Linked DNA regions of Diceros bicornis minor. The protein of the gene in region 1 purifies or fractionates together with the protein of each later gene. This does not show direct contact. Links are inferred from orthologs where the notes say so. Each region holds a gene or a part of one and is shown in the gene's direction. Other genes may lie near its edges. The genes, in order: PPP1R10, TOX4 and PPP1CB.

Region 1 (7,700 bases):
CAGTCTCAGCTACTCAACTCTGCCATTGTAGCCTGGAGGCAGTCTAGACAATATGAAAACAAATGGACATGGGAGTGAGCTAGATCCTGCCTGTGGTCGTAGTTAAGGAATAGATATAATCTTGAATTGTTAAGATTACAATTCCAAATTTGGGAAATCTAATTGAATTGTCAGTGGTATAAAAGAACTCATGTGACAGTCAGTTTTTGAGAAAGCCTTTCGTAAAAGTGAAGAGATCCTATAGAAAGGAAATAATCACCACCATTTATGTTTTAAGAGCCTCAGTTAAACCGTTTGCTTACATTTGTACCTGCCTGTATCTTTTGTCCACATGTTACCATGTGAGTATCCCCATTAAGCCCAGAATTCCAAAAGGTTCAATCACACTTTTTATGCCGTAAGTAGGAGCCACCAAACAAATACCTGTTGTCTGAAGGAATAAATGAGAACTGCTCCAAGGAAAAGCTACTCTGGTGGTGACAGGGATCATGGGCTAACCTGTGTATGGAGCATGGAAGATGATGCCCGTGTGGGCACAGACAAACTGTTCCAAGAGCTTCACATTCTGTGGGGGAGAGTAGTGGAGAAACATGAGAGAGGGAGGGGAGAGCAGCAAGGCCTTTATAATTTTATTTATTTATTTATTTTTCCCCCCAAAGCCCCTAGGTAGTTGTATGTCATAGTTGTACATCCCTCCAGTTGCTGTATGTGGGACATAGCCTCAGTATGGCCAGAGAAGCGGTGCATCGGTGCGCGCCCGGGATCCGAACCCAGGCCGCCAGCAGCAGAGCGCGTGCACTTAACCGCCAAGCCACGGGGCCGGCCCAGCAAGGCCTTTAGAGACTGAAAGCGCACAATCCCTACACACCCACACGATGACCCTAACCCCTCTATGTCTCTCCAGATGCTACCCTCCTTTACCTCCCAGTTTTAGCCCCATCACTTGACTGAACACATTCTTGAAAACTCCAGCAAACTTTCCCCCTTTCCTGGCCTTTCACCCATTTCACATGTACACCCTACATTTTGTCACTGAGACTCACATAGAATTCTCTTCTGCAGGGGTTAGGATCTAAAATCAGCCCTTCTTGCAAAAAATTGGGGACAGTCAGCTGGCAATTCCTAAAATCACCCAGAAAATGTAATATATATTGTAATGTTCACGTATAAATGATTAATGCATATGATAACATGCTGTATGTAATATATGTATTTATTAGGATCAATTCTACAGTTGTAATTATGTAGAATGACTCTCAGCTACCAAGTTCATTACAGGAGGTGAGACCCAAGGAAAAAGCAGGTACACTTGTGGAGTAGAATGGCAGGCAGAATCATCTACACTATTCAAGTTGTAATCTTTTTCTCTCTCAGCTATGCAATTGATTATAAACTGTATTCAACTGGGTATAATCTCTTTTTATAACCAATCGTACAAAGTTGAAATCGAGAAGTTATCTACTGGACCTCTCTACAACCTGTGTCCCAAGGGGTCTGAGAGTAGTCAGACACCCCCATAGGCCGACTGACACATGCATGCCCTCCAACTTTCCTGATGACCAGACATTCAACTTCTGCTCTAACACCTTTACTACGTGCTCAGAAGAGCACTTTTCCCATTATCATTTTTATAAGGTTTTTGAATTCTTTAAGGAGCAAGTGCTGTCCTCACAATGAAGACTTTTTGGAAAAAACCCTAGACTCTATACCTTGCTTCATGTATCTGTCCCCAGCCCCAACTCTCAGGACACAACAAACATCAACATGACAAAGAAATAAAAGAAAACCTCAGGAAAAAACTAGCCCGATCTACTTGCTAATAATTGTGATGGATGTAAATGAACCTTTGGGCGTTGCTTTCCCATTAGAAATAGGCATTTTTCCTGCCTGCCAATTCAAACTGTAAATTCCATAGGTAAAGGATGAAGCTTTTTCTTTTTTTTTTTGAGGAAGATCAGCCCTGAGCTAACATCCATGCCAATCCTCTTCTTTTTGCTGAGGAAGACTGGCCCTGAGCTAACATCTGTGCTTATTTTCCTCTACTTTATATGGGATGCCACCACAGCATGGCCTGACAAGCAGTACCTCGGTGCGCACCTGGGATCCGAACCTAGCATCCACCAGCAGCGGGGCGCGCACACTTAACCGCTACGCCACCGGGCCGGCCCCGGGATGAAGCTTTTTAGTATAACCCACAGTAGGTGACAAAAGGATGGAGGGAAAGATTTTTTATATTGCCAGAAAGTCAGTACAAAATGGATTGTACAGGCACTAAGATACGAAGAAGAGTGGGCACCTATCGTAATCTCTTCAGCATTGAAAAGAGGCTCCAAATCCTTATCCTGCAGAAAAACGTCTCCTTACCCTAAAGTCGACGTGCAGCTTGTGATCCCGGCAGATAGGGCAGGGATTCCCAGCAACTTTATTTCCACGCTGTAGAGAGAAGAAACTGGCAGGTGAAGATGTTCAAAGCTCTGTCAGAAAAAGTGCTGCTGTCACTGTCACTATGGCCTCCACCTCTACACCCCATCCCATCCATGTGCCACCCCCAGAAACTTACAATGCATGTCTTTCGTGTCCGCTGTGGCGGTATTCCACCTTTGTGATTGCGGCGGTAGTCAGCCCAGACCGGGCGAGAACCATAGCGGTTCTGGTATTCTGAAATGAAAGACCACACAAGGAATTCCTGGGTGGAGGTGGAGAAGGCATCTTTGTCCATTTATTTCAGACCCCATGTGACTCCCCCCTTCCCCATTTAGAGGTACCTTCTGAGTCCAGATATTTCCAGGGTTCATTCTGGTAAGGGGAAATGGGAACCGGGGACACAGAATCTTCCTCACGGGGGGCTTCGGTGCAAAGAGTCTGGCGGAGAACCTACAAAAAGAGTGCGAAAAATAGAATAAGTTCAAGGAAGGCACTTGATTGTTTTGCTGCCTAAACCTTGGGGAAAAGGGGAATGCACGCCCATTGTGTTAATGGAACACAGCAGGAATATACATGGAAGGTAGCATTTTTGTTAGTGTTAAATTGACATCATCAAGGACCACTCTCCCTATCTGGATCCTGAAAAAGAAGCTAATGTTAAGGGCTAACTAGGATAACTGACTGGGAGACAACCTTATTTGAGAAGACAATTGAAAAACCTGACACATGTAAGGTATTCATGTTTTGGGGGATGAACTGAGTCTAGTGGAGCAAAAGGGAGAATGCCTAGCTTCTTGGAGGTAAGATGTGTGGCAGGGAGGGGATACAGAGGCCGGGTGTCTTCAACTCAATTCAAACCCGAATCACTGAGTTGCCCAGCCTTATAAAAAATAGGTCAACATTCCACAGAGCAGAACAAACTTGAGTCCTAACGCCAGCTTTAAAGCTACCAGGCCTGTTATTAACTCCGTGGTGACCCCTGTCACCACTCTTCAGTCCACTTTGGGAGTGGCAGTGGGCAAGCCTTCCTTTCTCACCCTGCCCCACCAAGAACCTGCCCTGTCCTACCAAGAACCTCCAGGGTGGTGAGTACGTGAGACTGGAGGGAAACCTCAATCCAAAGGACTGAGTTAAGCTCTCATGGATACTCTGATAAGAGAGTGACTTAGTGAGATAAAGAGAGCTAAGAAACTGGTCCCCAGGTCGTGAGAATGTATCCTGGTTTTATTCGGAGATAGCAGGGCTGGTAGAAGTTCGTGTCCCTCAACCCAAGGACACTCCAGGACATCACAGGTTTAGACACCAACTGCACGTTTAAGAGCTGGTTGTGCATGACCAACGGGTCCATATTTTCACCTAGTTATTCAGCCGAGATGGTAACTTGGGAAGAAGATGACATCTAACCCTGGCTCTTTACCCTCGGCTCGGGATTAGAAAATGCGCGCAGCATCGAGGAGGGTGAGAGAAAGGGAGAGAGTGGTGGAAGCAAAGTGTTGCCTAGACAGCCGAGGCCCAAGCACTGGGGAAGGTCTCCACTCCTGGATTCCCAGCAGTGGAGCGATAACCTAGAGAAGATAATAACTAAGTTGGGGTTGTACAAAGCGTGCTCCAAGGAGTTACCTGAACTCCGTAGGCGCCTCTGAAGGGCGAAAGGCTAGGGACGCGCCTCAGGAGCGTATTCAATATGGAGGCCGCCATCTTGACGTACTCCCAAAGCAGGAATGGCCCGAAGGGCGACTGCGCATGCTCCAGGAAACTGACTAGGGTAGGGGCAAGGACAAGCCCGCAGTGCGGGGCGAGGCCGCGCACTTGCGTCAGGACGGAAGCGTGGCAGGGGGGCTGTGGGGAGAAGCCAATTTCAACTGCGTCACAATCGAATTCGGCCTCAAAATTGCGTTTTTGCTGAACCGGTCACTATGACTCTTAGATCTCATTCTTAGAATTTGCCTTTTAAACAATTTTGAAGGCGATTTGGACCGAGATCGTCTCAGTGCGCATGCGCCGGCCCGGTTCTACCAACCCAGGGTGAGAAATGTCTCGAGGGCGGAAGTGGTGGAAGGAGAGGAAAGGGAGGGGCTCGGCTCTGCGATCACGCGCACGCGGTGGGTGCCAGGAAGGAGGCGGAAGAAGGTGCTGGGGGGAAGGGGCTGAGCGAAGGCGAAGGAAGGATAGCCAATCAGCTAGAGAGTTGTCTTTTTCGTTGACCAATGAATTCACGCCTCGCGCACAATGTCGCGCGACAAGGGCGTTTCACTAGCACGTTTAGGCGCGTTGGGCGGCGTCCGGGTATAAAAGACTCCGCCCGAGCGGGCAGCCGCCATTCTGGGGTTCGTTTAGAGGTAAGTTTTGGTGTGTTGTCGGTTAGGGGGTAAGATTTTGCGGAGAGCGTTGCGCTGGGAAACGGGTCAGGCATGGGTTCAGTTGAGAGCCATGGTTTATATGAAGCGGCTGTGTTCGTGATGGGATCTGGAGGTGTTTGGGGATAACAAAGATGGAACTTTTGGGTGTTTAAAAGCAAGCCGTACTGATTACATCTTTCTCCTTTGTGTTCCTTTTATCCTAGGTTTGAATTTTCTCGGAGAAAGACAGGCTGCCCGCGAGGAAAAAAGAAACAAGCCGCAGCAACATCTAAGCCCTTGAAAGGATCCTGAGAGAGGGGGGAAAGGGAAAACAGCAGCCACCAGCCCAACCACTTGTGTCTTCTGCCCCTTCCCATCTATCTTGCCCACCCCACCAGCCCACGCTGCTTGGGACTTGAAATCTGTGGCCGAAGGACCGTCACCACATAACTTCAAAAATAATCAACCACCCTCCCTTCCCAAACCCGCCCAAATTCACTCAACCAGCGTTTACTTTTTTGAATCCACTCAGAACTTTTTTTCTACGACCCCCCTCCCTAAATGGAGTTGGGTTGGGGGGGAAATGAATACTGAGTTGGCCTTTATTTTTTTAAGAGACTTTTTGATCCAATGAGGCCCCCAAATAATTGAGTTTTGGGTCCTGGTTGGTTGTTTTATTTTTTTTCTCCAAAATTTTAATCCCCTTCCCCCTGAGCCCGAGGTGCTGACGTCGCAAAAAAATTGGATAGTAAGTGTCGAATTTTCAAAAACCAGCCTTGCAACAAGAAATCAACGTTTCCCGTTGTGAAACCAAAAATAATGAGAGGAAGAAATGAGACCGTAGAACAAAATAGAGAACTGGAGAAGGACCAAGCCGGTCACTCTATCTCCATTAAAAAGGGCCTTTGGGTCTAAACAGTCTTGATCTCTTTCCCCTACCACCTACCTCTTCCTGCCCTGCTGCAGGCAAGGAGAGCGTGGAGGGAGGGCCAGCAAATGAGGATTTTGATGGTTAACCCTTGGTAATCCAGCCAATTTCCAGACTGCCAAAGCCATAAGTGTTTGCTTTTTATAAAGAGGAATGGTTACCTTCCTCTCGTTAGCAGTCTTCAAAAGGGTTAATGAGCTCACATACAAAAGATGGTGGATCTTGAGGCCCAGAAGTCCCACTTCTTTGTGTGTGAGACAAGCAGGGCGCCTTTCAATTTGCCAGATTAATAAGCAATCTGTACATAAAGATTGCAGGGTAAGGAGATGGGCAGAGAAATAATAGCTGGCTATGACTTAAAATGATTGTTAAATCCTCTCAATTTTAATGTAATTTGCTTGGGGTATATTTGTGTGCTTAAAATAGGTGGCAATCTAGGAATAAAGATTGCAAGACACTTAATTCAGGGCAAAATATAATCTTAGTGGCAGTACATACAAGATAATACTTGGGGAGGTAAAGAATGTTTTATAATTGTTGCAGATTGCGTAGGTTATTTAAAAGCAAAAAGTGGTTAACATTTTAACTTGATACTTTTTGGTGGGGGGATACAGTTAAATAGCGGGTGGAAAGGTTGGGAAATGTGGAATTCAGGAGAATAATTTTAAAAGCCATTTAGTGCAATTGAATGCTAGCTTTCTAAAAGATTTGTGTCGTTAAAAGGAATTTTTTTCTTCCCTGCTTCAATATGGCGACTTTCCTTGTCCTTTTGTCTTCCAAGCGGCGGCGTCGCAGGTTGTGTGTTGACCCATTTTTCTCCTGTCCTCCCACCTCGACCCTATTTGATGAGAGGGGTCCAAGTCCTCCCCCTTTCCCTTTATAGGAAGGATGGGGGTGGTCGGTGGTAGCAGGTTGAACCTCAATTGCAAATTCAATTCTTCCCCGCAGAAAATTGTTCTTTTAATATTTTAATTGCTTTTATTTTCACAACGCTCTTACTGACTCCAAATAGGTCAGACCATTCAGGATTGGGGGCTGGTTTTTGTTTTTTTACTAAAAAAGGGTGTTTTTTAATGTAACTAGCTCCCGGCAGAGCCCGGACAGCTTTTTATCTTTTCCTCTTCTTCATTACAAAATGGCGTCCCTGCTTCTTTGTTGTTTTTCTCCCCCTTTTGCCATCCAGAGCTTAGGGCCGCCCTAGAAACTTGGTCAAGGGGGAGGAGCAGCCTTGAAAGGTGATGTAATCAGCTTGCTTCCTCTTCTCTCCACCCTCTTGAAACTCCACCCCTGAGCAGATGCCTTCTGGATTGATTTCCCTGTGCACGCTGCTGCTAGATAGGAAAAGACTTTTTCCTTATTTTCTTTAGAATATTTTATAGCCTTTATCTTAAAAGGAAAAAAGCTTATAGGAATTAGGTCTTGAGGCTGTCCATCTCCTTGGGCAGCTCTAGTTTTTATGTTTAATAATCAGAGCCTGTTGCATTTATTTTCTCTTTTCACTCATCACAACTGCTTGGAAGTTTTCCCTGCTTCAGTTGCCAGGGGTGGAAAGCCCGTCAAACCAACTATCCTTTAAGACCGGGGAGCCTTTTTGGGGAGTGTGTGAGCGTGTGTGTATGTATATATGTGTGTTGGGGATACTGGGGAAAGACACGAGCTTGTGAAAGGATAACTTGAATAGACAAATGGGGCCTAATGACACTGGAATGTCCCATTTCTGCTCAGGAACCAGTCCTTGGGCCTCCTGCATTTGGTCGCTTTGTATAATGAGAATCTGGGGGAGGGTGGGTTCTTGAGGACTTTTCTTCTAAATGGCCCTTATTCCCGCCTCTGGGTTTGGGGATAAACTCTTTGTGTTCAGTGCTGTATCACGTTCTCCAGTTGCTTAGCTCCTGTACATTGGTACTAGGATGAGAAGTGAATCTTTAGGAAAGGAGGCGGCAGTTGTAAACTCAAGGCAGGGGGAATCAAGCTACGGTTTCTGGTAAGCAAACCCTTTCTGGTATTAC
Region 2 (7,851 bases), on another chromosome or scaffold:
AATACCCTCATGGTAATCCCTAAACATTTTCATGTAGGATGGTTTTGGGAGTAAGGAAGTAGGGTCAACAAAGTGGGAAGCCAAGGTGGGGAAGCTACCTCTAATGGGCAGGAGGACAAGGCTGACAAGAGAGAAATGATCAGGCTTACCCAGAAAGTGGCAGACAAGACAATTCCTACATTATAGGTAGGAATCTCTTAATAATTTCAAAATAGAAAACTCCAATATTCTGAAACATGGTATCTTTTTACGATTCAACAAAAATTAGTATAATTTCAAAACAATTATTAAAAGAGAGCAGACAAGAACTAGATCAGTTGCATTACAAGTGACTATCAGGCCATGTGGTTCTTCACATGTGGTTCCATGTGTGTCAATAGAGCAGTGGCTCTCAACTTTCTTATTTCATGATCCAATCATGTCTCATACTATCACTTAAGGAAAAAAAAAAGCCAGCAAGCCAAAACTTAAGACACTTCCATGACCATGACCATACCACTAACTGGCAGCTATTAGGTCTCCTAGCATCAAAGCATCCATTTTTGGAAATGGTAGAGGTTTAGGTTAAAAAGGCAGAATCTAGCTAATACCTGTCTTGACACCTACAGGCTTCACTCTTTGTCACCTCCTCAGAATTTGTCCTGTGGCCTCTTTAGGTAGCCAAATCTACCTTTGTGGGAAATATAAAAACCAGGGGATAATAAAAGGAGCGTTGTAATATCTACTTGGATTAATACTAACAAAGAACCCCTGGGCCCCAATAATGAAAATGGAAGGGAACAAGCTGTTTAGAAGTGAGTTTGGAAGTTTTAGAGGGATCTGGCTAGTGCTACCATTATCAGAGATGTGAAGTGATTCATGTTCCTACAATGTGGTGAGATGAAAAATCTGATCAGAGCCAGCTCTGATGGCCCAGTGGTTAAAGTTTGGCGTGCTCCACTTCAGCAGCCTGGGTTCAGTTCCCGGGCGTGGAACCACACTACTCGTCTGTCAGTAGTCATGCTGTGGCAGCGGCTTGCACAGAAGAACAAGAATGACTTACAACTAGAATATACAACTATGTACTGGGGCTTTGGGGAGGGATTCTATGCAGTGGTTAAAAGGAATGAGGTAGATCTGTATGTATTGACATGAAAATGTCTAAAGACAGGGACCAAGTCTTAAATCATAGAGATTGTTAAATAAAAAAACCTAAGTCACACAGATAGGTCCACTTTGCCATGATTCTATACGTGAAAAAACTAACAGAAACAAAACCATACCATATATCTGTATATGTTTAAATGTATGTATCTAAATGCAGAGAAAAAGTCTGAAAGCATAAACACTGAATCAGTAATAGTGGTTTACTCTGGCAAAGCAAAAACCAAGATTGGGAGGGACAAGAGGTTTGTGTGTGTGAGGGGGACATTCAATTTTTACTCTATACACTTATATTATTTGCTTTTATTTTTAGTAGAACAAACTCATATATATTACTTGGGTAATTTAAAACAAAAATAAAAAGATAACGGCAGTCAGAATCTGCAAGCATAACAAATGGAAGGGAAAGCTTCCCTACCTCTTTGCTTTCATCCTTCCCCTACTCTCATTTCCACCATGAGCCCCACCATCAGAGCCCTTTTCCCCTGCATCAGCCTTTACTGTTCTATTTGGGGCATAGTTGGGGACTAAATTATTTTGTCCTTTCTCACCGTATCCCAGATTTGCAGTTTGATTTGTTTTCCATCAATGTTGACCATACGGGCCCCAAACTCCACACCTGTCAGTGAAGATCAAGAGAAAGAATATGATTCTCATGAACAACAGCCATGTTGAGTGAGAGGTTCATGCTTTTCCTCAATGCGCTAATGACGCTCTGTCTGCACTCAGTGCCACTAAGCCCATTACTACTGCCTACTTGTTCCAATTAATTCTGTGTTCCTTAAAGTTTCTTTTCCCTCCTAGAATTAAAAACAGTGTTCTGGGTGTTAATGACCTTAGGAATGTAACCAAAAAGCAGATACAGGGATAAAACTAAATAAGAAGCCAAATTTAGCAATGTTAGTTAATGCTTAGATTTGATTAGGTAATGTTTAATTTTGTAATTTCTAAAAACTTTAAAAATATTTCCTAACATTTTCTGAGTCACTCTGTAGTCCTCTATAAAACAGTATTTCTTTTTTGCAATTCTAGAATTTTTTGTTTGAGAAAAGAACCTATCTAAGAAATAGGTTCTCAAGACTGATACCTTTCAGATCTCCAATAATTCCCAGAGGTCATCGGAAAAGAGCCTCCATCATAGGAATATGGAAACATACAGTCTGAATAAAGGTTTTGGTTCACCTGGCATTTATCTTCTTTCAAGTTAATGTCAGGACAAAATTTAAAAATCAAATATCACTTGCATTAAAAATACTTGATCATAAATCAGAAAATTTGTCCTATTTTCTGTTCTTTACATAGTACTTGAGGAATTCTGATTTCCAAGTAAGAAAAAGCACTAATGTAGCTTCCAATAAAGGGTTGATATGTGCCTATTCGGTGGCCCCGTGTATAATATATCCAGAATGTCTCTCTCACCTCGAAGGTGCTGCAGTCAATAAGAAAGATATAAAAATTGTTTCTTACTACTCTAGACTGCTTCATCAAGAAGTGATAGCTACTGAAAAAAGTCACTAAATTTTTTCTTCTTTCTGGACAATGGGAATGGAATTTCAATGAGGAAGAATTAAAAACTAAAACTTTTGATTCCTTTTATGCAACTTCCTCTAGTTATGCACTCAGAGACCATTATATTTTGCACCTATTTTCTTTCCAACTGCCTGTTTATCTTGGTACAGAAGACTGAATTCAGAAAGAAACACAGCCTATATTGGACACTGGGGAAAACTTGGATCATTTCATTCCTCCGTTTTAAAGCTTGTCATTTGCTCCCATTACCTTCAGGTGTTTCAAGACTTGGCACCTTTTTTATTCTCTAGCTTTATTTTTTGCCACTCTCCACTTCAAACTCCATACTCCAGCCATATTAAAATGACTTTCAGTTTTCCAAAGTTAGCCTGATCTCTGCCATTCCCAAGCCTTGCATATGTTATTGCCTTTTGCCCTGATCACCTTTCCCTTATCTCTACACCTTTGCCTGGATAACTCCTACTCTTTCTTCAATTTTCAGCCTTTCCTGAGAGAGGTGGCAGCCTTTCTTTCCCTTCTGCAATAGGAATTTATTTGTCAGGATCTACTCCCAGCCCCACCTCCTACATTGGAAGACTGTAAACTACTGACCGGCAGGCACAATGTTTGCCTGGTTAAGCACTGTATCATTAGCACATATCACAGTGTGGGTGTTCACTTGATATTTATTTACAAAAACATTTTCCTGTTGATGCTATCCTCTAAATCCTTTTCTAACCCCATTAGTTATTTGGCTCTGAATAAGTCCTTTGGGAGCAGTAGCAGCTTCAGATTTCCAAAAGGTGGGACTTGAAGTGACAACATGGTAAAAATAAGAGCTAGGGATTTTGTTCAGAAACTGCATCTGCATGGCAAGAAGGCTAGTTTTATATACCTATACTCTTTATTTGGGCTGGGGTTACGCAGATTATGGGGAAGGGGTTAGTAAAGCCCCAGCAGGCCATGCCTTAACACAAATGCGTGGCACATGTTTACACTTTCCAAGATCACCAGTGCTTTTGGAACTCGACCATACTCTTTTTCTTTACAAGAAAAGTTGATAGTTTCATTCACTCTTTAATTCTAAGTCTGGGATGGCTCTTCAATTTGCTTTTTCCTCTCCAACACACAAAAAATTCCCTGTATTGGTGATTACTTTGAAAAACATGTGAGGTTAGCATTAATTTACTGCAAAGCCAATTTTTGAATAAGTAGTTATGCTTTCGTGGGATTTTCCATAAACACACAAATGGCATTTGGAGGGGAAAAAAAAAGTCCTACAGCTGTTGATCCATACCTCACGTTCATCTCTAAAGTTACCTTTCAATTATTTACACCCCACTACACTACCCATTTATCAGCATTTGGTTAGCCACTCTTCATTTAACATAACTTTGGACTAGTTTAAAAGTAGAAAGAGGTAACTTTTTACTTCGAACAATGAAGGCTCCTAACTTTCCCGTTTAGCTAGTCAGCCATTATTATCTGTTCTGGGACAGGTAGATGCACTTACCTATTGTGAGGTCGTGGACAGGCTGGAACCGCTTGTCTGTAAACTGCAGGAGGAGACATGACTTCCCCACGCCTGAAAGGGAAGAACGAGCGTTCCAGGAGTCACACCGGCTAAGGAACAGTCTCTGAGGCCGGCCGTCCGGGACTGGGGAAGGGGAGCCCCGAGCCCCGCCCCCGGCCGTCCCGCCCCGCCCCCGCCCGCTCTTCTCGAAATCGCCCAGCCCACTAAAGGAGCCCCGCCCCCACGACCCAATTTGGGAGCTTAGGATCCCCGCCCCAGCCTTGAGGGCAGCCGCCCGCGGGTTACCTGTGTCCCCGATGATGATGTACTTGAAGAGATAAGCATAAGTCATGGTCCCGTTTCCTCTGGATTCCGGGTCCGCCCGACTTCTACAGCCACTAACCTCCGGCCTCTCTAGCCACTCAATCTACCGATCTCCGGCCCCTCTAGCCCAGATCACGTCTCTATTGCTCTCCACAGAAATCTTCTCTCGGTCAGAGCGACGGTAATACCGAGACACGGCCTGCGGGGACGCCTCTAACACTTCTACGTGCCATGATACCACCAAGCTCCAGGGGGCGATAGCTAGCCTTTCCGTCCGCTCGGCCTTCCCGGGCCTGACTCGCAACAGCCCCACGGCGCTCCTTCCAATCAGCGCAGAGCGACGCACGTCTTTGCGGAAGTGACGGCGGTTTCGAGCCCTGTGGGGGCGGTGGGAGCGATGAGGGGACTGAGACCTTGGTAGCCGTTGTGTGAAGATGGAGGTAGGACGCTGAACGCTAAGAAGGCTGGCAAGAGAGCGCGGCCAACGCAGTTGAAGCGGAGGCGGGAAGCTGGGCGGAGAGGCGGCCGACGGGAGGGGCGAGAGAGCGGGGTTTGGGGAGTGTTGTCAGAATGTCGGGGTCAGAATCCGTCGCTCCGAGCTAAGTCCCTACTCCCCCTAACTTATCCCCGCGGCTTTCTTTTGGTTTCCAGTTTCCCGGAGGAAATGACAATTACCTGACGATCACAGGGCCCTCGCACCCCTTCCTGTCGGGGGCCGAGGTGAGCACGAGCTGCCGACGCTGTGGGGGGAGGGCGTGAGGCAGCGGTGGGGCAGGGTGGCGGGGAGGAGAGCGCGGACGCCGGGGACCGGGGGCTGGGAACCAGGGGCCGCGATTGGTGTGTAGGGAAAAGTGGCAGCTGCTTCTAGAGCCTATGAGGACTATGGGGAAGGCCCGGGAAGCTGCTGTCATCAGAAAAGCAGGACGTTGGAAGGAGCTAACCTATTTAAGAGAGAGAGTGGATCGGAAGGCAGAGTGGAATTGTCTCCTTTCGTTCGAGAGAAATAACTGCAACAATCTTGGGGGATCGCAGCTGGAAGAAATGTTTCAGCTGAAGAAATTGGGGTGAGGGGAGGAGTTTACCTAGCCGGGGTTAACTGTGGACATTTGTTCATTCTTGAACTCTGTTGAAGGGGTCTTTGTCTCACTTCAATTTCCTGCTCAGTGGTAAAAAGAAAAGTTATAGTTATGTTTACGTACATGGTGTTAGTTTTGCTAGTGACAGGATAAAAGGAGATAGTTGCTAGAAAACAGGAAGGGAGTTGAGTAGAACATGTGTTTCTGTGTGCCAGCGACTCAGAGTTTGGGCAGGTTACTTCACCTTTGTATGTCATAGTTTCCCCAGCTGTCAAATGGCTGTAATAATAGTTTTATTGTGATGTGAAATAGAAGTAATGGTTATGGTGAGGTCCTTTAGTATTCGTAGAAAAGTTTGGGTTGAAATATTGTCATAATATAGATATGTATTACTTACTTATAGGCAAAGAGAAAGATGGAACAGACAAAAATAAATTTCCTGGTCTTTGAGAAACTGTGAAGTCTTGAACTTGCTACTATCTTTTGAGGATTTTAATTTTCTTTTTAAGAAGTAGTGTGTACCATTTGCATAAGTTTTTTATACCAAGAATTCTCAATTGCTGTTGAATGGGCTTATCCTATAATAAATTTTAACGTTTTCATGAATGAGAATTAGATTGACAAGAGACAGTTGCTAGTTTTTTTTAACTTTTTTTAATTGTTATTATTATTCTCCTAAGCAGGGAAAAATATGAATCAAATGAGCAGCAAATTTAGAAATGTTATAAAACTAAAATCTGTTTGATGCTTTGCAGTCTCATTGCCAGTTTCTTCTGAGTGATATCTCTGTGGTTTAATTTCATTATTTGGAGCATAGTAAATCTCACATTGGCCTCATCCACATGCAAGTGCATCATTGCCAATTTCTTCTGAATCAGGTCTCCACAATTTAAATTTCTTTATTTAGACTGTTGTAAGTTTCACATTGGCCTCTTCAAGAAACTTTCTAGATTTGATTCTTTGTTTTTACTTCTATGACTTTGAGAAATTAAAAAACAAAACTGTTTTGCCAAGATGCTCATAACTAAATTTCAGTAGCTTCCTTTAGCCCAGGGCTTTGTCATTGTTAACAGTTCTCCTTCTCCTCATTACAACTTCTTCACCTTCCCTTTCCTTCTTGTTTTTTTTAACCTTTTTATTTTAATTAGTTTGTGGTTTTTGTCATATCTGTCTTACCGTGGGCCACCCCAAATATAACTTAGAACTAGGTAAAGGTAATATTTTTAAAGTTTTCTTTTAGGAGAAGAGTAATTTTAGAGTTTTCTTCTAAGAAAAAGATAGATGTCCATAAAAGTACTAACCATAAAAAAATTGAAAAATTGAACTTCATTGAAATGAGGAATTTCTTTTCATCAAAAGACATCATTAAAACATTAAATAGGCATGCCACGGACTGGGAGAAGATATTTTAATACATATATCTGACTCATTCAGAATATATCAAATACTTCTGCAGAATAAAAGAAAGAATCTAATTTAAAAATGGGCAAAAGATTTGAACACAAACTTCACAAGAGAGGATATCCAAATTACCATCAGGCATATGAAAAAGTGACATCATCACTCACTGGGGAAATGCCAATTAAAATCATAGCAAGACACCATTGCACATACATCAGAATAGTTAAAAGACTGACAATTCCAAGAGTTGACAAGGATGTAGATAACTCTTAATCATTGCTGGTGAGAGTGTAAATTGATTCAACCACTTTGGAAAATGGGCACTGTCTACTAAAGATAAACATATACCTAACTAGTAATTCCACTCCTTGATATATACATGAGAGAAGTGAGTGCATATAGTCTCCAAAAATGTGTATGGTCACAGCAACTTTATTCATAATAGCTGAATACTGGAAACAATCCAGATGTCTGTAAATTGGTACATGTGTAGAAAGGAATACTACACAGCAATAAAAAAGAACAAACTACAAATGAATGCAACTTGGATGATCTCAAAAATGTAGCGTTGAGTAGAAGAAGCCAGACATAAAAGAGTAGGCACTATATTCATTTTTTAATGAAGATCAAGAATAGACAACACTAAACTATGGTGATACGGTGCCGGAAGATGAGAGGATTGCGCAAAAATGGGCAGGTTTCCGCTCTGCTGTACCCAGGGTCGCTTGGAGTCAGAATCAACTTGGTGGCACTAACAACAACAAAACTGTGGTGATAGAAATCAGAATAGTTGTACCTGTTGTGGAAGGGAGGGAGTATTGACTGGGAAGGAGCATTTAGAGTGATAGAAATGTTCTGTATTTTTGATCTGGTGGTGGTTAATTG
Region 3 (8,276 bases), on another chromosome or scaffold:
TTGCGGTCATTTTCCCTCATAGTCATTAAACCACTTGAAAGTTGGGAAGATCAAGTCTTCTTCAGCACAGAATCAAACATACTAAACGTTTCATAAATACTTAATTGGTTCATTATTCACTTTGCTTTAGAGGTCTATTCACTATAAGACTTCCTTAAATGAATACCATTAGGGCATTTCAATTAAAAATTTATTTGTAATAGGCTGGATTTGGTTTAAATCAAGATTTGAATAGTCAATATTCTATTTAACCAGTGTTTCCTACATAAAAGGACCTATCAGTGTTGGATGTCTCCCCAATAAATATTTTTCACAGCTCACAGACACGTTTGGTTTTAGTTTTAGGAGATCCATGCCACTAATTTTAATGTGGTCTTAGGAGAGAGCTACTCATTTCATAACTACATTAGAAAACTTAATAATGCTTTGTTTGTTTTATTTACCAAAACCAATTGAAACAGAGGCTTATGAAACCATTCAGAAATAAACCCTTTCCAACTGAAAAGGTGACGCATGCATAATTTGGATATGCTCTATGAGGAGAGCAACCATCATTAGAAATGAAACATTTAAATTGTTTTATTCGAAACAAACCTTCACATTTTGTATACTTTTCTTCACCAACACACATAGTTATTTCCTGGTATCTTGTTTGAATGAGCAGTATGGGAGAGCACTGAAAGAGAAACAATCTCACACATGTAGATGACACGGTTTTATTGTAACAAACTAGGAGTGACCCAAATAGACAGCTGGCCCTGTAATCTAATTAGAAGAAAAAAAGAAGGGCCACAGACCAACTCTTCAAAAATTAAATAGTCATCGTTTGAGGTAGCTGCCCATCCAACTTTAATTGCCTTATAGTTAACAGTTCTACACAGCCAGTTAATTCCTTCAATTACTAGGCATTTATTTTGCAATCCTTTTATCTTGAAGGATATACTAGAGAATTAGTTTAAGAAACAACGCTCCACTGCTCCACTGACAGTTTGTGTGTGTGTGCTGGGGGATCAGAATGGGGGGTGGGGTGGGGGTGGGGGGAGAGTGACCAAGGGCAGGGGAAGAGACATTTGCTTCTACCTGGCTTTCTAATTTGGGGGGCTAAAATGACTGAGGACATGCCTTACAACTTAGCCGATAACTTTGGCGCTTGATTATTCTCTCAAGTATGTATTGAAATGAAACCAAAACTAAATCTTAAGGAAAAATCTTGGCCTCGCCTGAGTGTACCACCTAGCCCTGGCTCTGTATTGAGAGGGGTGGCCTCCTACTGATGCATGTGTCTTTGACTGGTTTCTCAATATCATCGAATTAAACCAACTACAAAAGCATATGACATTTGATATAGAGAATGGCTGATCTCAAGGTATATCCAGTAAAATTTACTGCCACTTAAGATTTATTAAAGACTTGATTAAGAGGGATCACACTTATGGAAGAACAACCCAATGAATGTCGATTCATTCATTTACAAGCTACCTTGGATTAGTCAGGGCAGCAGAGAGTTATATATCACTATCACAACCTCCACATTTTGCTACCTAAACCTACTGATTTTCACAATATATTGGCTATTGGTCAACATTGAGAGGCATGTAAAACATCCCTGTGAATGTCTGTGCTGTGTTTACTAAAAGGAATCATGAGGCTGCTGTACATTGTGTTCCAAAGTGCCTTCTTTGAGGACAATTCATAGAGATATCTCTCTGTTCTCAGCACAGAGATGGTTGGGTTCCTCTGAATACTGGTCTGCCTTTATCTAATGGTCACTGGTATGTCCCAGGCATTTCCTCTTAGTAAGTACAAATAAGACCATGATTTTATTAAGACCCAAAATCATGATTCCCCAAGACTCTTGCAATCAGGAAGTCCAATTTCCCTTCACAGACATTTCTGGAATTACCCAAGGATATTGACATTTGTGACCCAAATGTCTCCCTAAGCCCAGTGGTGTGCTGGTAAATGTTTAACAACCAGCTCTCTGGTGGAAAAAGCTATAGATTTATAGCATTTGCTAATTTCTTTGGTGTGACTACTCCCACTGTGGCCAATATGACGTCACTGAACATGGAGCTGGAAAGAGATGCATAGTAGCATATCATTATGTAGTATTTCCACCATACAGATATAATAGATGTAAAAAACCTCTAGACTATACATAATAATAAAATGTAGCAATATAAATCGGATATGATGAATTTTGAGTTATCATTACCTTTGTTCCTTTGTTTTTAGTATAATTTATTTGAAAGTATATAATTTAGTTATTAAACAATGGCTCTGTTTAACAACTGGCTTGCAAAATTCCTGCAAGTTTAACAATTGGCTCTCCTGAGCCAGTGTAAGCTGGCTCCAGGACACCACTACCTAAAGCCCCACTGGGTTGGGAGTCCCAGCTAACAGTTTGCCCTTTGGTCTGTTAGATTAACAATCCTGGTCTAACAAGGAGCAAGCCCTTAGCCTGATTCCTTTCCTGAGTCTTGCTACACATCCATAAAGAGTGACAGGCAGTTTCCTACATGCAATCAGAACCACTACTTGCCACTCCTCTGTTCCAAAGTCTGCTGGTCTCCAGGCTTGGGTGCTCTACAGGGCTGCTGCCCACCACAGTGCCTGGTCCAACCAATGTCTCCTACACCACTGGCAGCCTTCTTATGTCTCTGCTTCCAAGGTGCTAGCTTCCCCAAATGGTGACCTCCACTCTGCCCCCAGGCCACTGCTCATACTCAGGCCAAGAGCCTCCTCAATGTCAGCATCTGCCAAATGGGGCTTCCCTCTCCTTGGTACCCACCTACTCTTGAACCTCATGGTGGCTCCCACTGCCTCTATTGCTGCTGCTGTCTATAGCACTGTCAACTCCAGCCTCCAGATCTCCCCTCTTACTTCTTCCTCTGTCCTCAATCTCCTATCCACATTTTTTTTTTTTTGAGGAAGATCAGCCCTGAGCTAACATCCATGCTAATCCTCCTCTTTTTTTGCTGAGGAAGACCGGCTCTGAGCTAACATCTATTGCCAATCTTCCTCCTTTTTTTTTTTTCCCAAAGCCCCAGTAGATAGTTGTATGTCATAGTTGCACATCCTTCTAGTTGCTGTATGTGGGACGTGGCCTCAGCATGGCCGGAGAAGCGGTGCGTCGGTGCGCGCCCGGGATCCGAACCCGGGCCGCCAGTAGCGGAGCACGTGCACTTAACTGCTAAGCCATGAGGCCGGCCCCTCCTATCCACATTTTAAAGTCCAAAGAAAATTTGAAAACTGAGTGTCATGTAAATGTGGCACCAAAACTCATTGAACAAAGTAGGATAAGATGCAAGTGATGCATAATCTCAATTTTATAAAATAGGTGTGTGTGTGTGTGTGGATATATATATATATATATTTTTTTTTCCCCCCAGAAATAAGACAGGAAAGTGGTTATCTATGGATGCTGAAATTACAGGTGATTTTTATATTTTTTTCTTTGTTTTCCAAATTTCCTTCAATCAACACATTTTATTCTGAAAAAAAAGGCTACGTTAATGGCAAATTTGACCTAAACTGATATGAGGCATAATGTAGTCTTTATTTATCTTACATGATGTGAATATTCATGATTTCTTTAAAAAAATTAACGTTTCAGACTATAGTGAGCTGCCCCAGAAGCTGCTGGGGTGTTAAGTAATATAGAGTACATGCACCTCTTAAACTTCAAAATCTGAAGAATTCTGAATCTGAATTCTTATATAATTTTGGAGGGGGATTCCCACAGAAAAGTTGGTTGGGCCCCTAGTGATATAGCTCTTTCATTTTTATAACAGCCGTTTCTTTCCCAGGATTCCAAGGCACCAGAAAACCTGGTTGGGGGTGGAGAAGGGGACATCCGCAGGCAGTACTCAGAACCACTCTCCAATATATGCTGACTCCCAGAACTTGCTGAGTCTGGCCTCTCTCTGCCCCATTCGTGGTGATTTTCTCTCAGATGCTCATTTTCTTTGCGCAGTCCAGTTTCCTTTGGGTGTCCCTTGTCCATTAAATATATCTGCATATATTCGAACCTTAATTGTGGACAGGGTTCAAAGTTCTTTTTCATGGGATTCATGGGCCCCATGAAAACTGAAGGATAAGCAGACACCTATTTAAGTGTTCCCAAGCATTATGTTGCTCTTTAAGAGGCTCATGGAAGAGCCTTGGGAAAGTGGCATCTAACTCCACAATCTGATGTCTTCACGTCCCAGTTCCAGCTCAGCCAGAACACCTACCCCACTTGCAACCCATCTTTTCCTTGATTGCCAGAACGCTTAGAATCATATCTGTGGCCTATGCCTAGCAAACGATGCATTTTACATACAAAACTGCTGGTTTTATCTTACCTTTCCCACGCTGTTTTCTTTTGTCCTATTTTTCTCTGTACTTATTTTTAATTTATCCTACTGCATTTATTTACGTAAGCTACCTTAAACTCCTTCTTCTGAAATAAAGCAGAGTATAAATAAATGTTCTTTAACAGAGTAGACGGAGACGTAATGATGCCAGCCCGAAGGTACCTGAATACCCGATGACATCAGTAAGATATATATGAAAGCGCTAAACAGAAGGCAGAGAGTGGTATCCCCGTAAAATATTACTATTGCTAACCCTTCCAGGGCCCACTTGAACTTATTTCATCCAAGGACACTTGGACAACTAGCCTTGTGGAACGGTAGGGTATAAAACCCCTTATTTGCAACGTCAGATGTTTCCAGCAAAGGAACCCCTTCTTGCTTTTCAAACGCGCAAACCCGGGTTTCAAACATGAGTAACACAGTCCGCGTTTCCCGTTTAACGGAAACAGGAGGAATTGCTTGCAAAACCAGGGAATAAAGCCAAGAAAAGTAAAGCGAGGCGGGAAACGCACAACTACTGCGTCTGCACAGCGCCCCAACAGAGGCCGCTGGGAACCCGGAAGAGCAGCACAACCTAAGCGCGCTCTGCGTAATGGGAACTTCCTCGGCGCAGCAAACCCGGGGAGCCTCTTGGGCGCCTGCGCGCTGCGGCGATTCGGCGCAGTGAAAGGGGCGAGAGAGGGCGACGCACCTGCGCAAAGGGGGCGGCGGCGGGCGAACCGAGTCCAGTGCGGTTGCGCGAAAGCCGGGGCGTGCGGGGGGGGGGTGAGGGCCGTGGAGGAGTTCGCCGTGCGCCTGCGCGGAGGTCTGCGTGGCGCGGTGGCGGGGAAGGGCGGTGTGGAGTGAGTGGCCCTGCGGGTGGGGCCGTCGGCGGCGCTGGTGAGCTTTGCGGAGTTGGGCGGTGCCGAGGAGGAGGAGGTGGCGGCTGGGTCTGACGCGGCCCGGTTCGTGGGGGCTCCGCTTGTTTATTTATTTATTTCTCGAGTGTGCCTCCGAGTGTGCGCGCGCTCACTACTTGGTGGGGAGGGGGTGGGGGGAGGGCCCCGGGGCAAAGGGGGAGTTGGAGCCGGGGTCGAAACGACGCGTGACTTGTAGGTGAGGGAACGCCGAGCCATCGCCGCAGCCTCCGCCGCCGAGAAGCCCTTGTTCCCGCTGCCGGGAAGGAGCGTCTGGTGCCGACAAGATGGCGGATGGGGAGCTGAACGTGGACAGTCTCATCACCCGATTGCTGGAGGGTGAGTGCGGGGCCCGGCCGGCCGCAGGGGGGCCGCCTGCCTCGGTCCTCGTTCCCGCTCCGCCGCCGACATCCGAGGGGACCCCCTTTCCCGCCCCAAGGCGGCCTCCGAGGAGGGGGCGAAGAGGCCGGCTGGTCGGGGGAGCGGCCTCCGGGAACGCGGTCGGGGGGAGGCAGGGCGAGAGGGGCTGTCCCTGCAGGTGGCCGGGCGGGCAGTGCCCCCGCGGACCTTCGGCGACCGGGCCGGCGGCGCGCCAGCCGGGGGGTGCTCGGAGCCCCTTCCCAAGGAGGGCGCCGGGATGCGTGCTCCTGTGCGTTGTGTGTGCGTGGAACGTGTATTTCTCTCTGTTCTCTTTGTGCATTGCCCTTGGCTGTCTTGGATTCTTGTTCCGGGAGTGAATTTTATAAAAACCTGCTTGAGACGATTGCTTGATCTAGTGTTCTACGTTTTCATATGATGCTATAGGACGAACTCTATTTAAGGAGAGGATAACATTAGCGGGAGTTAAGTACCTCCCATTTGTTGTTTAGCTTAAAAAAATAGTAAAACAAAAGTCGTTGAGCTGAAGATGCACGCAAGAACTGTGAAATATGTAGATACGTTTGCTGAAGGGATTGGCTTTCCGGCTTGAGAATTGAACAGGTTTCAGCAGGATTTAATTTCTGCACGAACTTAGAAAAGATCTGTTGTAAAGATTCTCGTGTTTAAAAGGTATTTACAAGTCTTCGCAGCTTTTGAAGTTTACAGGCTCTTCTGTTTTTGTTGAACAGTTTTATGTTGGGTTAGGGGATTGAGGGAAAGCGAAGAGATCTCGGAGAGGCCAGGATATTATTCAAAGTTAATCGCGGTCTTCTGCCAGTGAATCCCCGTACCCTAAAATTTGCGTCATCACTAATTGCTTTGTGAGTGTGTAGAAAAGAAATTAAGCCTTTACATTTAGAATCCTCTCTGTCAGGAACCAGCGAAGGATTGCATATGCAGTAACTGTTATTACTTCCTTTCAGATTACCTGAAGGTAATTGTTTACTACAGTGAAGCAGTCTGTAGTTACATTTGGAAAATCATCAAAGAAGATTGTATGATTGGGAGTGGGGGGAGGGCGCTAGTTCCTTTTTTCAACCAGTATGTCGATATCTCATCGGTTCTGTATGTACCCATTGTGTAACAAACTACAGTTTATTTGCTCCAGATGTGAAAGCCTTCCAGCAGTCTAAGACTGAATGAGAAGCAAAGTTTCATCGGGAAGTCTTATTTACCTTTTCCTTTACTATCAAGTTATTCCTGGGAGGCCCCCTGGTGCCTGCAGTCAGTGTTCACTACTTAAGACTTTGTGGACTTTAACAGATGTGCACATCTTGCTGGGTCTGTGAGACATTTGCTTTGACAAAAATTGTATTTTGTAATTGTGCCTTGTTGAAAGAGGAAAATATAGCTATTTAAGAACTTTAATGTCTTGTTAACTCTTGGGGAAGTTTAGGCCCATCACCATTTTTATACATTTTAAAATTGGCTTGTAAATTTAAATATTTTAAAAATTTAATGTTTTTATATCAACTTCTTCACTTTTATTTTCCATATACTTACATATTTATATACTTCATAGGAATAAAATGGTAGATTTATGTATTTCGAAATGGTTGATCTGGAACTTTTTAAGTCAAACGTACTTGTTTTTTTTCCCCTTTGTGAGGGAGATCAGCCCTGAGCTAACATCCGATGCTGATCCTCCTCTTTTTTGCTGAGGAAGATTGTTCCTGGGCTAACATCCGTGCCCATCTTCCTCTACTTTATCTGCGGCTCCGCCACAGCATGGCCTGACAAGCAGTGCATCCATGCGCGCCCTGGATCCGAACCCTCGAACCCTGGGGCTGCGGAAGCAGAGCTAGAGCACTTAACCACTTGCACCACCGGGCTGGCCCCTAAACGTATTTTTTTGTGATTATAGATATGTCAGAAGCTTCACTAGTGGATTGTTCAAGGTTATTGGAAAAAAGATATGGTAGGAAAAATAGGCTGAGTGAGTGATTCCATTTCTTTTTGTGAACTCAAATTGAACGTTTGGTTTTGGACAATCTTTTTTCCTTCTTTTGGTGAGAATTCTAGTCCAGACATTTTCCCCTTTTAAATTACCAAGCATTTATTGACCTGCTTTGTGCCAGTCACCAGGAATCCAAAGATAAGACACAATCTCTTTACTCAAGGAGCTCCCAGTCTAAACAAGTGATTTTCAGGCTTTCCTAGCCTCCTCTCTGTTTATGTGTTCAACACACTCCCATCAGTAAAGAATTTCATTACTTGCTTCTTAATCCCAGGAAGTACATTTAGTTTGACAGTGCCTCTCTGGGGTTCTTAAATTCTCCAGGCTCCTCTCCTTCCCCCCTTCAAAATTTAGACCCATTCCAAAACAGACTTTGATTTTCTAATAAGTATTTTTAGTCTTCAAATAAAAATTTTTTTGTCTGCCTTGATTTTCAGTGATGTTACATGCTAATTAAATTTAACTCAAATTCAACTGGTGGCATTTTGTAAAGCTGCCTAGCAGAATAGCTACAGTTAATTTTTTTTTTTTTTTTTGTAGTATTAAAGGAACTTACAACTTAAAATTTGGCCAGAATTTCTCTCCATTGGGGGAAAAAATCAGCAGGACTGGATCTCATTTTAAAATGTTGATTGTAGTTCCACA

What was found.
Region 2: the proteins of PPP1R10 (region 1) and TOX4 purify together in Homo sapiens (affinity purification with mass spectrometry; 3 studies listed by BioGRID and IntAct, counting the BioPlex papers as one, with this or other methods). This does not show direct contact. The link is inferred for Diceros bicornis minor from reciprocal best matches to the Homo sapiens genes PPP1R10 and TOX4.
Region 3: the proteins of PPP1R10 (region 1) and PPP1CB purify together in Homo sapiens (affinity purification with mass spectrometry; 5 studies listed by BioGRID and IntAct, with this or other methods). This does not show direct contact. The link is inferred for Diceros bicornis minor from reciprocal best matches to the Homo sapiens genes PPP1R10 and PPP1CB.

The regions. Positions count from the first base shown.
Region 1 is NC_080753.1:34,473,300-34,480,999, forward strand, and holds the start of PPP1R10 (serine/threonine-protein phosphatase 1 regulatory subunit 10), read left to right. Parts: upstream 1-4,241; 5' UTR 4,242-4,449; intron 4,450-4,631; exon of another isoform or gene 4,632-4,763; intron 4,764-4,779; exon of another isoform or gene 4,780-4,987; 5' UTR 4,988-5,511; exon of another isoform or gene 5,512-7,675; intron 7,676-7,700. Other genes in the region: MRPS18B (small ribosomal subunit protein mS40), read right to left, coding at 499-565, 2,365-2,433, 2,561-2,658, 2,766-2,874, 4,045-4,122.
Region 2 is NC_080744.1:27,880,544-27,888,394, reverse strand, and holds the start of TOX4 (TOX high mobility group box family member 4), read left to right. Parts: upstream 1-4,851; 5' UTR 4,852-4,923; coding exon 4,924-4,929; intron 4,930-5,140; coding exon 5,141-5,209; intron 5,210-7,851. Other genes in the region: RAB2B (ras-related protein Rab-2B), read right to left, coding at 1,695-1,762, 4,166-4,237, 4,472-4,517. UniProt on the Homo sapiens protein: Transcription factor that modulates cell fate reprogramming from the somatic state to the pluripotent and neuronal fate. In liver, controls the expression of hormone-regulated gluconeogenic genes such as G6PC1 and PCK1.
Region 3 is NC_080751.1:54,244,852-54,253,127, reverse strand, and holds the start of PPP1CB (serine/threonine-protein phosphatase PP1-beta catalytic subunit), read left to right. Parts: upstream 1-5,146; 5' UTR 5,147-5,237; intron 5,238-5,453; 5' UTR 5,454-5,541; coding exon 5,542-5,593; intron 5,594-8,276. UniProt on the Homo sapiens protein: Protein phosphatase that associates with over 200 regulatory proteins to form highly specific holoenzymes which dephosphorylate hundreds of biological targets.